Linked DNA regions of Diceros bicornis minor. The protein of the gene in region 2 interacts with the protein of the main gene of each other region in a biochemical or structural test. Links are inferred from orthologs where the notes say so. Each region holds a gene or a part of one and is shown on either strand. Other genes may lie near its edges. The genes, in order: RASGRP3 and PRKCB.

Region 1 (7,975 bases), on a different chromosome or scaffold from region 2:
ATCTGAGCTGATTCTGTTGTCAAACTAGGTCTGCTGCTTGGGGAAAAGGAAATTGTCAACAATTCCAGAACCAGAAACTACAGTACAATTAAATTTGTAAGTATATTTACCTTATGAAGTAGCAGATCTTTAATCGAAATTCGTTGCAACTTTCTCCACTGGCATTTCGATACGTACACTAGTTAAAGAAAAAATCCTTGCATCTTGTTTCCTTTACACACACCTTCAGCTGTTTGATCAGTTTAGATGAATTCCTAATAAGAGGGCCATACTGGGGACATTTGGGTTATGTGGACGTTCAAATGGGGAGAGAAGTGGGTTCTGATGACATCAACACTGAATAACTTAAACTTGATGTGTTATTACTCTGTGATGTATTTTTTGGTCTGGAAGGGAACGCACATAAAATTAGTTTTACCTTTCTGAGCATGTACCAAGTGATGACTGTCAACTGTAATTACAAATATACTGCCAATTATAGATAATTTAAAATTGATAGTCATGTGAGCCAAAATGATTTTGTATTTAGGATTAATGCCTTATATAAGTACTCTAATTTCTTTGGTATTTGAAAATGTCATTTTTAGGTATATTAATACATGGGTTGTGTTGTAATTTCTTCTTAAGTTTGTTTATTCATACTCTTTTTAACAAAATTTTATTGAACTCCTGCTATTTACCAGGCGCTGTGGATATGTGGCGAGCAAGAAATCCAAAGGGAGGAAAATCTAAAGAAATGTTGATTCACAGGCAGTTTCAACTTTTATACAATCTGTACTTGCAGATAGTAGACTTGACTATGCCTAAATATCCTTTTTTATTTGTGTTTCATACATCAGTGGACATACTAATGAAAACGCTGTTTGTGGGTACATTCCTTAGACAATGTTTGGATCCTGAGGAGGGATAGGGCCAGACTGAGTCAATCATCTCCATCCTTCCCTATGCGCTACCCTCAATAGCAGGACCCGGAAACTGTTGGAACACTGGGGACTAGGATCTTGTTCACTTCCAGGGACCTCTTTAGGGTGAATGTACCATTATCCTCTGTAACATTCCCTTCTGCCCTGAGTTGTGGGGAGGATAAAGGGAAGAAGTTGAAAGTGGAGGAAGCTTGAAGTGAGCAGGTGGAAGCCCCACTTGGCCCTAATAACACTTAACGGACCCTGTCCCTCTCAGATATCCCCTGCCCTGTAAGGCTTCTTACCCATTTGCAGGGCCTCCTGGGCTTGAAGTAGGCAGAGACTGCAGGAACCAACATTAGTGATTACGTAATATACCTTAGACCTCACGGAATAAAAGCTCCTTATAAATGTGAGACTATTTTGCCATTTTCAGTCATTTGGCTTTCAACTACCTTTCAGGACTGCATTATGTACAAAAGTGGCGGACTGATAAAAGCCCTTATTATAGAAGGAGTTTCTAACTATTTTTTTTTGCTTTTATGGCAGAAGGAAATCTAAAATTAATATCAATCAACAAATTACAATAAACCTGCTAGAATGTTCTTTGTGTCTTGCCAGGAAGGGAAGATGTGGAAACTTAGGTGGTGTTTATGCCTGAGCTAGATCATATTATTTTGGCTGGCATTTCCGTATGCCTAAGCTGTATCCTCTAGGTCCATCATTTTGCCATCCTAAAAGAAATAAATTAGATCGTGAATCAGTGTTAAATATTCTCGCATTGTACTAACAGCAGAAGTGTTTAAGACAAGTTAGAAATATTCAGCCTACAGCTCCTGTTTCATTTTATATCTACTGACTATTTTCAAGTGGAGCCAAAACATCCAGAAGGATAGTCAACTATTTGGTCCATCATCCAGATGTTTTGTCTAGCCATCTATATATATTCTCAAAACAGCTGGATAACTGACTGAAGACTGTTTATTCATCTTAATTTACTGGCTTTGGTTACACACTCTATCTAAATACAGAACTTGATTTATGATTGTAAAAATTACACAGTAGTTGAAAAGATATATGCAGAGAAGTTTTTCTGCCAATTCAGTGGAAGATAAATACCATCGGTGCATTAGTAGAACTATTCTTGGCAAATAACTATTATTCAGCTCTCCATTGTCATCTGTTAAAAAATAAAATAAAATGAGTGGTGAGGAGACAACAGTACTACTCTTCTCTTTTTCTAATATCAGTAGAGAAACATTAGTGTCAAAAATTTCTCATAGACCCAATTACTGTTTTCCTCCTACTTCTGCTGGCATTTCCTTGCATGTTAAGTGGGTCGGTCTCACCGTTCTGGTTTACGGTTGCCAGATTTAGCAAATAAAAGTACAGGACACTTAGATAAATTTGAATTAACATAAACCACCTATAACTTTTTAGTATAAGTATGTCCCGTGTATTATTTAGGACATACTTATAGTAAAAATATGGTTTACCTGAAATTCAGATTTAACTGATCATCCTGTATTTTTTATCTGGCAACCCCACTCTGGTTTAACTCTTCCTATAACAATTAATTCAGCAAATAACTCCTTTGTGACCCTATTTGTGCAAGGAATAATCCAAAACACATAAACAACATAAAAAGCATATAGCTGTAAAGTCTATAATCTAGTAGGAGATATAAGATATATATGCAAATATAGAATGCAGCAGATTGTTCTACCCACACTTGTCTAAGGCAAAAGACCAAGAAATGATCACAGCAGCATATACCATGTGCTATCAGAAAGTTACAAGGGGCTGTGGGAGGGCAGAGGAAGCAATCAGCATTCCTGACGGGGAGGTTAGGAATGGTGTTATGAACATCGGAGATGACATCTGAGATGAGCCCTGAAGCAGATTTTCAATGAAAGGCATGGAGGTAGAAAGATGCAGAGAATGTTCCAGAAACATTAAGTGGACAGTGTGGCTGGAGTATGAACTGTGGGCAGTAAAAGGAAGGAAATGCAGAGATCAGCGATACTGGGGAAACGGATTAGGGTCAATCAAAAAGACCTTAAATACCAAGGTATGGAGATTGAAATCCATTCCACAGAAACATTTGTATCTGAATAGGAGGAAGTGATGGTATCAAGATATACAAAGAGAGAAAAGGCTCGTACCAAACATCTCAATGCAAGTACTCAGCAATTCATCTAATGTTGCTGCTTTCCCAAGTCCACTTGACCCCATGGTTATGCAACCGTTGTCAAAAAACTAGAGACATTTTCAGCATCAGACAGACCACCTCCATAATCATGCAAGTTGGTGATGTTTGTGCCTAGTGGTGGTCTCTGTCCTTAATTATACTTCAAGATGCTAAAGAAACAAGAAAAGAAAGTTATCAGACTAGAGTTCAGACCCCATTAAAGCGTCACTTTCCTACCCGAAAAGATAATGACTTTCATTGACTGTATCTTTCTAAAAGAAAAGTATCAAAGCAACAGAGATTGCATCAACCACCATGATGGCAAAATGCCTGCTAAGTTGTCCTTTAGCATGTATGGTGCTCTGAGAACATGGAGATGTTCCCTATTAAGCATCATCCCATTTTGCAGCTGATATTTTTTGATACATATTTTATACTTTCTTCATATTCTTAAGTGGTAAGACTTTCAAGAATATTATAAACATGGTTTAATGTTATTACAAATATATAGAGGGAGATAAATTTTAAAGTGCAAATATATTTATGAGCATTATCCTCAGTGATCATATAAATGTTCAACAACTGGTTAAAAAAAAATCTTTTTTGTCTAAGTTTTCCAATAGTAACAGTATTAGTAGTAGTAGTAAAAATATTAACAACAATCTGTTGAACACCCAGATTATGTACCAGGCACCATACCAAATGCTTTACATATATTATCCAACTTGACCTTCAGAACAATACTGTGAGGTAGTAATTATTATTCCTAGTTTACAGATGAGATCATGGGATTCACAGAGATTGAGTAACTTGTCCAAAAAACTCACACAATTATTAAGGTCTAGAATCAGGACTCTATTATAAAATACAGCTTTGGGGTTCCCTTTTCCCTTTTACTATTCCCCGAAGTGTGGATATCACACGCTGTCATAATTTTGTCCCCTTAATCTAGTGTGATGAATATCATTCCTCCACATCGTCTCAGAGAAAGGATATAAGCCAGATTATCTGTCACAGAGGTAGAAGAAAAATGTGGGGATGACAGCAGTCCCATTTTATAGCACTGTTGTGGGGAAAAAGTGATTTGAAACAAGCTCTTAGAGCTGCTTATACAGAAAGTATCCCTGTTGGGGACACACAAACATCTTATTTTACAGAGCAAGTCCTTGATGCCAGGTGCCTATAGGGTTTGAGGTCCAGAGGTCACCAGGATGTAAGACGGTTATCCCCTTTGGACAGTTTAGTAGGTAAATGTGGCCATTGGGAATTCATCTCATGAACTGTTTGAAGTCAATGTCTCTTTTACTTTCAAAATTTATTTATTCAGCTGGTAATCGTTGAGCACTTGACAAATGCTAGGCACTGGGCTAGGCATTGAGACTGGCAAGATGAACAAATCATTGTCCCATCCCTGTCTTCAATGGGCTCATAGTCAACTTCAGAAAGCAAACACATGAAGGAACAGGGAAAAAAGCTAATTTCCATATGTATGGTTGTATTAGTTCAATAGGACCACTGAAGAGTGGCATTTCAGTGAATCTATTCACCAGGCATATCACTATGGAGGAAAAATGTTTACTGTGTATTATTTCTGTGTAAGAGTCATATTCTTGTGCTGAATCTACTACTCGTAGAGCATAAAAAGAAGGGTTATCTCACATGTGCAATAAAAATAACAGGAACCCTGGATCAATGCTCTCCCACTTCTGCTGCTCAAATGATTTGTGAAAGGGGGATATTAAAGTTGTCTGGAACCATCTCTTCTACCAAGTTACCTTATTGGTAAGGCCTTTCCTAACCATCCTATTTAAAACAACACTACTTCTTTCTCTGTGCCCACCTCCCACTTGGCATGCCCTACCTCGCTTCCTGGATTTATTTTTCTTCATAATACGTATCCCCATCTCACATACTATATATTTTACTTTATTTGTTTTTTAGTCTCTCTAGTACTGTAAACATAAGCTCCATGAACGTAGGGATTTTTGTGTTTGTTCTCTGGTTTACTCCCCAACTCCCAAGATTTTGCCTCTGATGTAGAAGATACTCAAAAAAGCATTTGCTAAATTAATGAATGAGTGGACGGATGGATGAATAAATGAATAAAATGAAAATTGTCAAAATTTTGTCTTTGAATAGGTGTATATTTGTATGAATGTGTACTATAAATTTTTAAAAGGCTATTTTTAAATGTGATTTACTAATTTAAATCAGCTTTTAGCAAACATCACTGGGACAGAAGTTCCTGCCAGCTTTCTAGACTTAATAGCGTCTGCTTATTTTCATAATAAGAACCTCTTCCAGGACATTTTGGGTCAGCACTTCTCTGATTTCCCTAATATAAATTCTGCCAATCCCATTGGACAATTGACAAGTTTGATTACCTTATAGTATATACAGAATTTTTTATCTTGTTAACTCTTGTTACTGAGTAGTAAATATATTACTTAGAACCAAACAGCCTAGATTAATTAAACCAGTTTCTCTGGTCAAAACCAAAATTATTCACCTGATCTGTTTGGGGAAGGTTTTGACCTTCTACAAGGGGTTAGAAATAACCTGCTACCAAAGACCTGTCACCATTGTTTGGAGTTATATTTGTGATCTGCCAAGGAGTCAGCACATGAGAGCCAGGTGGGCCGAGCTCTCTGGTTACAATCTGTTTCTGCAATCAGTAGATGTGTCTGAATCCCTGCTTAGCATTCAGTCACCTACACATGTACCTGAGATCTCATTTCATATGTGTGGATATTATTGTGTCTACAACTGCTTTTTCACAAATAAACCTTCTTTATTGTAAAAGCAACATACATTCATCATTTAAAATAGGATAGTAAGGGAAAAGAAATCTCATCATCCAAAGATAACTTGTTAATATCATGGCATGTTTCTTTTCATTTTTCTAGGCACATTTATTTTGGTGAGTTTCTTACATAATCTACAATAGTTTAAAGAAATACTTACCTATCAGTTTCACACAGATAGATATTCAGGTCTGAAAGAATTTTAAGGGCACTTATCATCATCAGAAAATGCACTGGGGACACAATCTATAGAAGTTTTTATCCAGCCTGAATAACAGGTACTTTGGAGAACCTGATAAAAGAACAGAAAGAAATCCCCAGACAGAGTTAAATAATACAAAACTAAAAGAATTCACATTATGTTAAAGAATTTCCAAAACCCTTGAATTATAAGTGGTTTTTGAGATTTTGTCTAAACTTCAGCCACAGAGTCAATTAAAACAAAAAATATTCAAAATATTTTGGTGACATGATATTTTTTAAATCAAGTAGCTAAACAAAAATTCAGCCTATTAAAAACCTACAAATGGGGCAAAACCAAAATTTATACACATAGTATAAAATACTATTTTAGTCCAAATATACATATATCAGTGGATTACTCATTAAGAATTTCCAAACAGTGACTTTGGAATGTTAGTAAATCTCTAAAACAGTTTGTTGTGGTGATCATCAAACTCTGATCTAAATCTCTCCTGAGTGTCTCAACGTGAATGTCAATGTTATTTTAGTCCAGGCTGTTTAGTCTCCCAATGGTTTAGGACTTGCTTTAGTGTTGATAGGTACTCTCTGGCTGCAATGAAAATGATTGTTCCCCAGCATCAACATTTCTCACAAATCTGAAAAGGACACAATAAGCCAAAATTTCCCCAGGGCTTGAATTATTTCTAGGAGAAAAGTTCTCTCTTCCAAAGGGCAATAGAGTTCTGTTGAGTGTGATTTCCAAAAGCCATGATGAGTTCATACAGCAAAAGACTTTGATTAACAAGACTGGCAAAGCCTCTATCTTCAAAAAAAAATCCTCGTGAGATTGCCTGGGACAATAAGGACTATGCTCCCGATTTTAGAAATAGTGAAAAGGAGCCAATTCCATGCAACTATCCATCAACAGATATAAATTAGCACCCAGGCTCTTGACTCAGAACTTTTAGAGTAATTAAAAATTGGATTTCAACATTAGATAAACAAATGAGGAAAGTTTTACTTACCTCTGAGTAAAATGCCATTAATTCTGCTTACTCTACTAGATTGTTTAAGAAGTTAGTGAGGTAACATAAAATGCACCCACATGTGTCCTGCAAAACAGTGGGTGCTTGGGAAAGGTGTTGCCTTTTGCCTGCACTACCTCTTCCCTTCCAATATTTAAAGGCTTTTAAGTTGAGGACTTAAGGTGATGTAGAGGACCTACGTGTAGAAGTGACAGAAAGAGAGATGTTAGTTTAGAGAACGTAAAAGAAAATGGGAGAAAAAATATTGTGGCACTAGAGCATCTACTAGTGGGGCAGGTGGCCTCATCAGCAATGGAATCCCATTCCTGAAAGTTCTTGAGCCAAAGTAAGGTAATGACTGTCAGAGATGTTGTAGACTAAATTCCCAGACGGTGTCTAGGAAGCATGCCAAAATGACAGCAAAAGTTGCTTCTGGCTCTAGGATTGAAGGATTTATAAGGTGAAATATTATATCTAGTAAGTATTCAACAAATAGTTTTAAAATGATGTTGGCCATATTAGAACTTCCAAAGATAGTCTTGTCTATAGCATTATCTCTATTGCAAGAAGAAACAAACAAAAACCCTTGAAGACTCTTCCCTCCTAATGGCCGATATTATCTTTATAACTATATGACCATGGATATGTCTTTACATTCATATGCCCTTCATATGGAGACAAGGGGGTTTCTCTAAATGCCTAAATCCTTTGTGAAAATGAGTGGTAATTATTACAAATCTTTAAGCCTTAAGGATTAAGAACTAAGGTGTCATAGCATTTTTTGTTCCGGCAACATTCAAGCTTATCTCCCTTTCTCACCATAGACATAAGATTTTTATTTATTTATTTATTTATTTATTTTATTTACAT
Region 2 (7,469 bases):
CATTTCATTAGAACTCTTAATTCTGCTTTACTCTCACTACACCAGAAAATTCCTATCGTTTTCCAGGCCTTGAAAAAAAGGATCTCCTGCTTCAGATGTGTCATCATCCTCACATTCTAAAATGACTTTCCCAACCATTAATAACTGCAGAGCAGGTGGGATAGGAGAGTAGCAGTAAAGATGTTCAAAAATCATCCTGACCTCAGCATGAGACAAAGACAGAAACCGATTCATGGAAACGAAAGGTAACCTCAAATATCTACGCATTCCGGCACCAAGACACCATTGGTATTCTGCTTGAAGGGTCAGACAAAGTTCTAGAAAACAATCCAACTGTTTGCACCAGGACCTCAGTTGTTGCCACTCAAAGGGATTTGGGAAGTCCTCCAGGCAGTGCATGAAATTGGGGCTCCAGAGGCTGGGCGGGTCACTGGCTGAGCCGGCCCTGTCCCAGATCTCAAGGGAGAAGACACAAGAGCCTTAGAAGACAGCAGTGCCATGCTGTGAGCATTCTGTACAGCTGACAATGCCACCCACCCTCACCGGGATCACTTTACTTTTCCCTGGAGGGCGGAGGTGCTACAACAAGACTGTCAATCAGTGCTAGGGCACATAGACTTCTTAACAGTCAAACACTTTCTTCTCCTCATCTAAACCCTGCTCACCAGGACGGCCAATTTGCCCCTAGGACATACCCCAGAAATGTGACATTTCTCACCAAACTCAACCACGCCTGGCCCAAATTGGGGGAGGGGGGGCAGGGGGGACGACTCTCCAGACCAGAAGTTGCAAACTCAAATGACTACAGGTGCCAGAAACGGGTGAAGCAGGCCTGGTGGGGAGGCACTGAGACAAAATGGTGAACATGCGCCTTGTCTATGGAAACAGCTGCTCTCAGCTCCAAATGATTGTTCTGACAAGAAAGTGGGACCAATCCTCAGCAACCTCGAAGCTGGAAATTCAGATGAGTATGTGAAATCTCCCACTTCAAAAACGTTGACATCAAATTCAAAAAACGTTTGACACCTATGGGCTAAACAAGACTATCGGTGATTTGGCCCTGGAGAGCAAACCTGTAAGCAGAGACAGTGAGGCCACCTTACACATGATTAAAAGACACCACTAGGTTGGGCATCCCCAGCTAGGGTCAAGGATCTCAAACCAGATGCAAGGACCCAGGTGACCAGCCACTTGGAGTCCCTCCTGTATCTAGCCAGAAGATAGAAAGGGTGATTTAAAGCAGGATCTGAGAGGCAGCCCATCTGGAACCACCTCTTTGAGAGAGGGAGGAGGCCCAGGGACAACCACAGTCACCTTTCAAGGGGATGCACCATCTGCAGAGGCAGCAGCCACCTGCAGAGACCTCTGTGAGGCAGGAGAAGAAGCAGAATCCCACTCTGTGACATGAGGAAGGGCAAGTGAGCAGGAATTAGGGAGGAGGGGTCCTCCCAGAAATGGCCCCTGGAGACACTTCCTCCAGAAGCAGGATTAGCCAGGCAGGACAGGCTCAGGAGACCCGTTTTGACTCTTCTGGAGCTGGGACAGGGGAAAGGGTGGATGCATTTCCTTGGCCTGTAGGCCTTCCCAGCTCCACCAGCCTTTCCTGGATGGAGCATCACTGCCCCATAAACACACACCCCTTAAAAGGACCCTTTTGTGGTGATGAATTCCTAGCATGGGAGGTCACTCTGACAAAAGTGATTCCTTCACTCTCTGCCTAACTCAGTCACTTCTAGAAAGTCTTTTTCACCATCTCTTCCCACAAACAGCATCCCCAGATCCCCACAGCCTACCTTGGCACTGGAATCCTTGCTTCCCGAAGCCCCTGCGAAGAGAGAAGGAGGCATGTCAGGCAGCCCGAGGGGCCCAGCCACCAGCTACTTCCCCCACAGTCACCCCCCCTTCCTCCTACCCCTGCCCCGCTACCCCAGGTGCAACCTCCCAGCCACAGGCGGGTGCCCAAGAGTCTTCCGCCTTTGGGGGGAGGGGAGTAGGTGGGAGCTCGGCGGTAACCCCCACCTCCCCTCAGAAGGCAGAAGAGAGGAGGTTGCTGCGACCACCAGGCGGCGGGATGGGGGGAGCGTTTCCGTGGTGGGGGCGGAGGGCAGGCGGGAGATCTGCCCACAGAGATGCCCGAGCACCCTCGGGAAAGAGAAGAGAAAAAGATGTATCCAGAGGCAGGATGAGAGAGACCCGGGGGAGGTGGTGTTCCCTGGGGGACTGGGAAGGGAGAGAGGACTCCCCATGCCTTGAGGGACAGCGGGGAGAAAGGGGCCCGCAGTGATGTGAGTGGGGGGAGACTAAGAAGTGGCAAGGAGAACCCAGGCCCTCAGGGAGGCGCAATCGGAGATAACACAGGCGCAGCCCCCAGAGACACAGAGGAGGAAAGGATGCCCCATGCCCGCAGGGAGATAGAGCCAGGACTCCCAGGACGCTGTCCCCGGAAAGGAGCGGAGAGGGTGAGGGCGCCTCGAGCCCGGAAGGAGGCGGAGAGATAGGGAACCCTGGGCGAGAGGGCACCCGGGGCGCTGCCCTCCGAGGGAGGGACAGACACCCCGCGCTCTGAACCAGGTGAAGAAAAGGCGCCCGCGACGCGGCCCCTAGGCGCTCCGGAGGCGCCCCGCGGGCGGCCGTCTGGGGCCGAGGGGAGAGGGAACCCGCAGGACTGTCCACCAGGGAGTCCGGGGCAGAAGGCTCCGGAGCCAGGAGCCCGGGGACGCCGAGCCCGGCGGGGCTGCTTCTCCCTTGGGGACGCGGAGGGCACGGAGAGGGGGTCCCCGCGCGCGGCGCTGCCCTCGAGGACCCCGGGAAGGTGCCCTGCGCCGGCGCGCTCTCACCAGATGAAGTCGGTGCAGTGGCTGCAGAAGGTGGGCTGCTTGAAGAAGCGGGCGGTGAATTTGTGGTTCTTCACCTCGTGCACGTTCTTCTGCCGGAGGGCGCCTTTGCGGGCGAAGCGCACGGTGCTCTCCTCGCCCTCGCCTGGCGCCGGCCCCGCAGCCGGGTCAGCCATCTTGCGCGCGGGGAGCGGGAGCCCGAGAGGTGCCGGCCCCGGGGCCGTGGGACCGCGGGCTGCGGGCCCGGGAGGCGCGGGAGGCGGCCGCTGCTGCCGCCCGGGGCCGCGGGCGCTTCCCCTGCGCCGGCTCTGGCGGCCGCGGCGCGCGGAGCTGGGGCTGTCACTCGCCCAGCTGCCGCCGCTCGTCCAGCTGCGCTTGGCACCGCTGGCCCCAGCTGCGGGGGAGGGAGGCGGAGCCCGGGCAGACCCCGCCTCCCTCATTTGCATCGCGCCCCAGGCCCCGCCCAGCGCCGCCAGCTGCTTTACATATTGGCACCCGGAGGCTGCCGGTCTCCCAGAGAAGTGTTAGCCGCAGCGCTGCGGCGCGGGGACCGCAGCCTGCGATCGTCAGACCTGAGCCTCGCTCCCTACCCCGTCCTTGGCCTGGGGTTGCCTTAGGAAGATGAGCACGTCCCGGGGGAACCGAGACCGGAAGGCCCGACGAGGGCCGGGGGTAGGGGGTGGAAAGGGTGGGCGCGACTGATTTCACCCCGGCCTCTGCAGACTGGTACCCATCCAACCCCCATCCATCCCATTGGTCATTCTGCACCCGTCTCCTGTAGGGATGGGCTCCCGCTGTCACTCACTCGGAAAGGCCTGTGGTTCCACACACTTACACACACATACGCACACACGTACCGCAGAGGTAGGGGAGGAGCAATCTTTATTTTAAATGTGTCTAACTCCACCACAAAGACAATTCTTGGCTTTGCTTGCCCGACCATTTAGATGAGAACTCCCTACCTCCCTATCCATCCCCTCCATAAAGAGACTCAGTTTCCTCGACTGTAAAATGGGGCTAATAAAGGAGGTGAGGGAGAAACTTAATAGGTCAGCATTTCCTCAACTTTAATTCATTCCTGACCCGTCTTCACAAATTCTGGTCATATTTGTGCACCATCTGAAAAAAGTCTATCTGGTTTCTGAGTTCGAACAGCAAAAGGTATCCATACAAATCTGTAAACTTTGTATGGGTTTACAGATGCTGCCAACTGCCCAAAACATCTGCGTCTGAGGCCTTTTATTTCTTAAGAAGGGAGATTAACAACTAATAGAGAGATGTTAAAGACACGCTAACATCCAACTGGGACTCTCTCCTGGATGGAATCTGAAGAATGGAAAGATAATCAAAAGAGTAATAATTGTTAGATGGGTAATGCAGTGTGATTTAGAGCCCTGTCCATGCACTACGTCTAAACATCCCCCCACGGTGCCCCACACTCTGGGAACACAGCACTGCATTAGACTACGAACTCCTTGACTAGACCTAGGCTCTGAGGGCAGGAGCTGCTTGCCATTGTGTCATCCGGCACCGAGCTCAGTGCCTGAAACCTTCTAAGAGCTCCATAAATATTAGTTGAATGAGTGTGTGATTGTGCGAACCAATGAGTGAATGTAAATTTAAAGGACAGCACCCTTTACCCCCACCTGTATCCAGTAGGTGTTCAATAATAATAAACATCAGGTGCTGGGTGTATGTCAGGTACCTGTACTGTCTTATTTAGTTCTCCCAACAACCGTGTGTAGGTCCGCTAACTTTCATTATGGATAAGGACGGTGATGCTCAGCGTGATTAAGATATACACTCAAAGTCACACCGTTGAATGATGGCTACAAAGCATACTCATGTTCAAGGGGTGAAAAAGGGCAGGATGGAGTTGCACCAGTGACACTGAACTTCTGCCTAGTGAAGCTCAGGTCCCACTATGACAATTTTGCCCAGAAGCTGCTGAGTGGTAAGTCATTATTAGGTGGCATGTGGAGAGCGATGGCTGTCCTAACAGAATGTCCCTTCCCTACACAGTAATTCAAAGGTAACAAGGCAAAAATAGCATTCACTTTTAAGGTTGACATGTTTGGGAAACTGGACGTGCCTGTCTATTATTAGTCCTTTAAAAGGCCCCATCACCTCCCAGGGAGGCTTGAGAAAACATCCCAGGAGATATTGCTGCTGAAGTAGATTTCCTTTGAACCGATGAGCTGGAAGCTTGCAGCCCACATCCTGCCTTTTGAACAAAGTGCTCTGGATGACTTTGGTCTATAACAACAAACAGTACCTCATGAGGCCTGGGCCTGAAGATGCAAGGGCTGGTGGATCCTGAAGAACCATTCGGTTCCTGGAGGGGCTGCACCATCTGAGGATAGAGGAACATAGTTTCCTTTGGACCCAGATCCCTATCAGGCAACAGTCTCAAACTGGTGGCCCTTGGATACATTTTTTTAGCCAGCGAGCAATTTTTTTTTTTTTTTGGTTCACATTTGGTAGAATTTCACCTAAATATCCAGATTCTGACTTCTCTAGGAAAAAAGATACGGCTATATGGAGCCCGAATTCCTCCACTCACTCATTCATTTGTTCATTCATTCAGCAATGAATTTATTGAGCACTTGCTATGTACTGTGCCACACGTTGTTAAAACAGTCCAAAGCCCCTGCCTTCATGGAGCTTACAGTCTAAAGGGGAAGATGGACAATAACCTACTAAACTAACAAATCTATACAAGGTGGTGTGGAGATTCACGCTGTAAAGAAAAACAAAGCATGGTAAAGGAATAAAGAGTGACGGTGGCCAGGGAAATGCTTTATAACAAGGGGACATCCGAGCTAGAGCTGAACGAAGGAAGGGGGTGAGCCAGGCGGCTACCTGAGGGTAGGAAACAGCAAATGCAAGGAGCTGGAGGAGCAGCATGCTCAGCGTGTTGGAGAAACAGCAAGGAGGCCTCTGTGGCTGGAGTGGAGAGAGAGGCAAAAGCGGGTACAAGAGAGATCAGTAAGGCAGCAGGACTTGCAGACGGGGTAAGGAGTTCGGATTTCACTCCAGTGAATGGGAAGCCATTGGAGGGTTGAGAGCAAAGGAGTGGCCTGATATGACTTAGGTTTTTTTTTTTGTTTTTTGGGTTTTTTTTCTTGCAGGGGAAGATTTGCCCTGAGCTAACATTTGTTGCCAATCTTCCTGGTTTTTTTTTTTTCCCTCCCCAAAGTACCTGGTTGTATATCCTAGTTGTGCACCATTCTAGTTCTTCTGTGTGAGCCACCGCCACAGCATGGCTACTGACAGACGGGTGGTGTGGTTCTGTGCCGGGGAACCACACTCCGGCTGTTGAAGCAGATGCGCCAAACTTTCCCCACTAGGCCATCAGAGCTGGCTCTGGTTTTTTTGTTTTGTTTTGTTTTGTTTTTAAGATTACCCTGGCTACAATGAGGAAAATAGATTGAATGGGAGAAAGAGTAGAAATAAGTTGTGCAGTTGAGGTCATTTGCATAGACGGAGCAAGAGATGACGATAACTTGGCATGGTGCCACACGGAGTTAAAGGACAGCAGCTCCCTATAGATTGGGCATAGGCCCTGTAGGTCACCAGGGCCCCCATGTGGTCCACTGTGCTTATAAAGGAATGGATGCTGGCCACTTGAAAGATTTCAGAGGCATTGAGGAAGCAGGTTGCTCTGGCTTAGAGTGGAGTCCAAGGTCTCTTAAATCTAGGCTTCAAACTTGCTGTATATATTAGTTTCCTGTGGCTGCCATAACAAATTATCACAAAACTAATTGGCTAAAAATGATAGAAATTTATTCTCTCACAATTCTGCAGGCCAGAAGGCTGAAATCAAGTTGTCTGCTGGGCCCTACTCTCTCTGGAGGCTTTAGAGAAGGATCCCTCCCAGCCTCTTCCAAGTTCTGGTGGCTGGCAGCATTCCTTGGCTTCTTTGGCTTGTGGCCACATCATTCCCATCTCTGCCTCCATCTTCACATCAACTTCTCTTTGTGTGTCAGTCGTCTCCTCTTCTGTCTGTCTCATCTCCTCTGTGTCTCTCTTAAAAGGACACTGGTCATTAGATTTAGGGTTCACCCAGATAATCTGGAATAATCTCTTTATCTCAAGATCCTTAACTTAGTTACATCTGTAATAACCCTTTTCCAAACAAGGTAACATTCACAGGTTCCAGGAATTAGGACAGGGACATATCTTTGGGGGGCCACCATTCAACTCACTACATTGCATAACCCTGGGCAAGTCATTTCCTTCCTCTGTGTCTCACTTTCCTCCTCTGTAAGACAGGGGCAGAGATGTAGCAGATTGCCTCCAAATCTTTCCTTCTAAGGCTGCACTCTCCAATATAGTAGTCACTAGCCACATGTGGCTATTGAGCATTTGGAATGTAGCTAGTCTGAATTGAAATGTGATTATAAGTGTAAAATACACCCCAAAATATCAAGCACTTAGTAAGAAAAAGAAGGTAAAATATCTCACAAATATTTTTTTATCTTCATTGTATATTGAAATTATAATATTTTGGATGTATTGGCCTAAATCAAATTTCTCTCTAAAATTAGTTTCATTTTACTTTTTTAATGTGGCTACTAGAAAATGTAAAATTATGTATGTGGCTCACATCATATTTCTTTGGACACCTCTGTT

What was found.
Region 1: of the proteins of PRKCB (region 2) and RASGRP3, one has a biochemical effect on the other in vitro, tested with the Homo sapiens proteins (2 studies listed by BioGRID). The link is inferred for Diceros bicornis minor from reciprocal best matches to the Homo sapiens genes PRKCB and RASGRP3.

The regions. Positions count from the first base shown.
Region 1 is NC_080751.1:49,879,553-49,887,527, forward strand, and holds the start of RASGRP3 (ras guanyl-releasing protein 3), read right to left. Parts: upstream 3,229-7,975; 5' UTR 3,138-3,228; coding exon 3,068-3,137; intron 2,083-3,067; coding exon 1,980-2,082; intron 174-1,979; coding exon 111-173; intron 1-110. UniProt on the Homo sapiens protein: Guanine nucleotide exchange factor (GEF) for Ras and Rap1.
Region 2 is NC_080765.1:27,956,330-27,963,798, forward strand, and holds the start of PRKCB (protein kinase C beta type), read right to left. Parts: upstream 3,149-7,469; 5' UTR 3,011-3,148; coding exon 2,838-3,010; intron 1,826-2,837; coding exon 1,794-1,825; intron 1-1,793. UniProt on the Homo sapiens protein: Calcium-activated, phospholipid- and diacylglycerol (DAG)-dependent serine/threonine-protein kinase involved in various cellular processes such as regulation of the B-cell receptor (BCR) signalosome, oxidative stress-induced apoptosis, androgen receptor-dependent transcription regulation, insulin signaling and endothelial cells proliferation.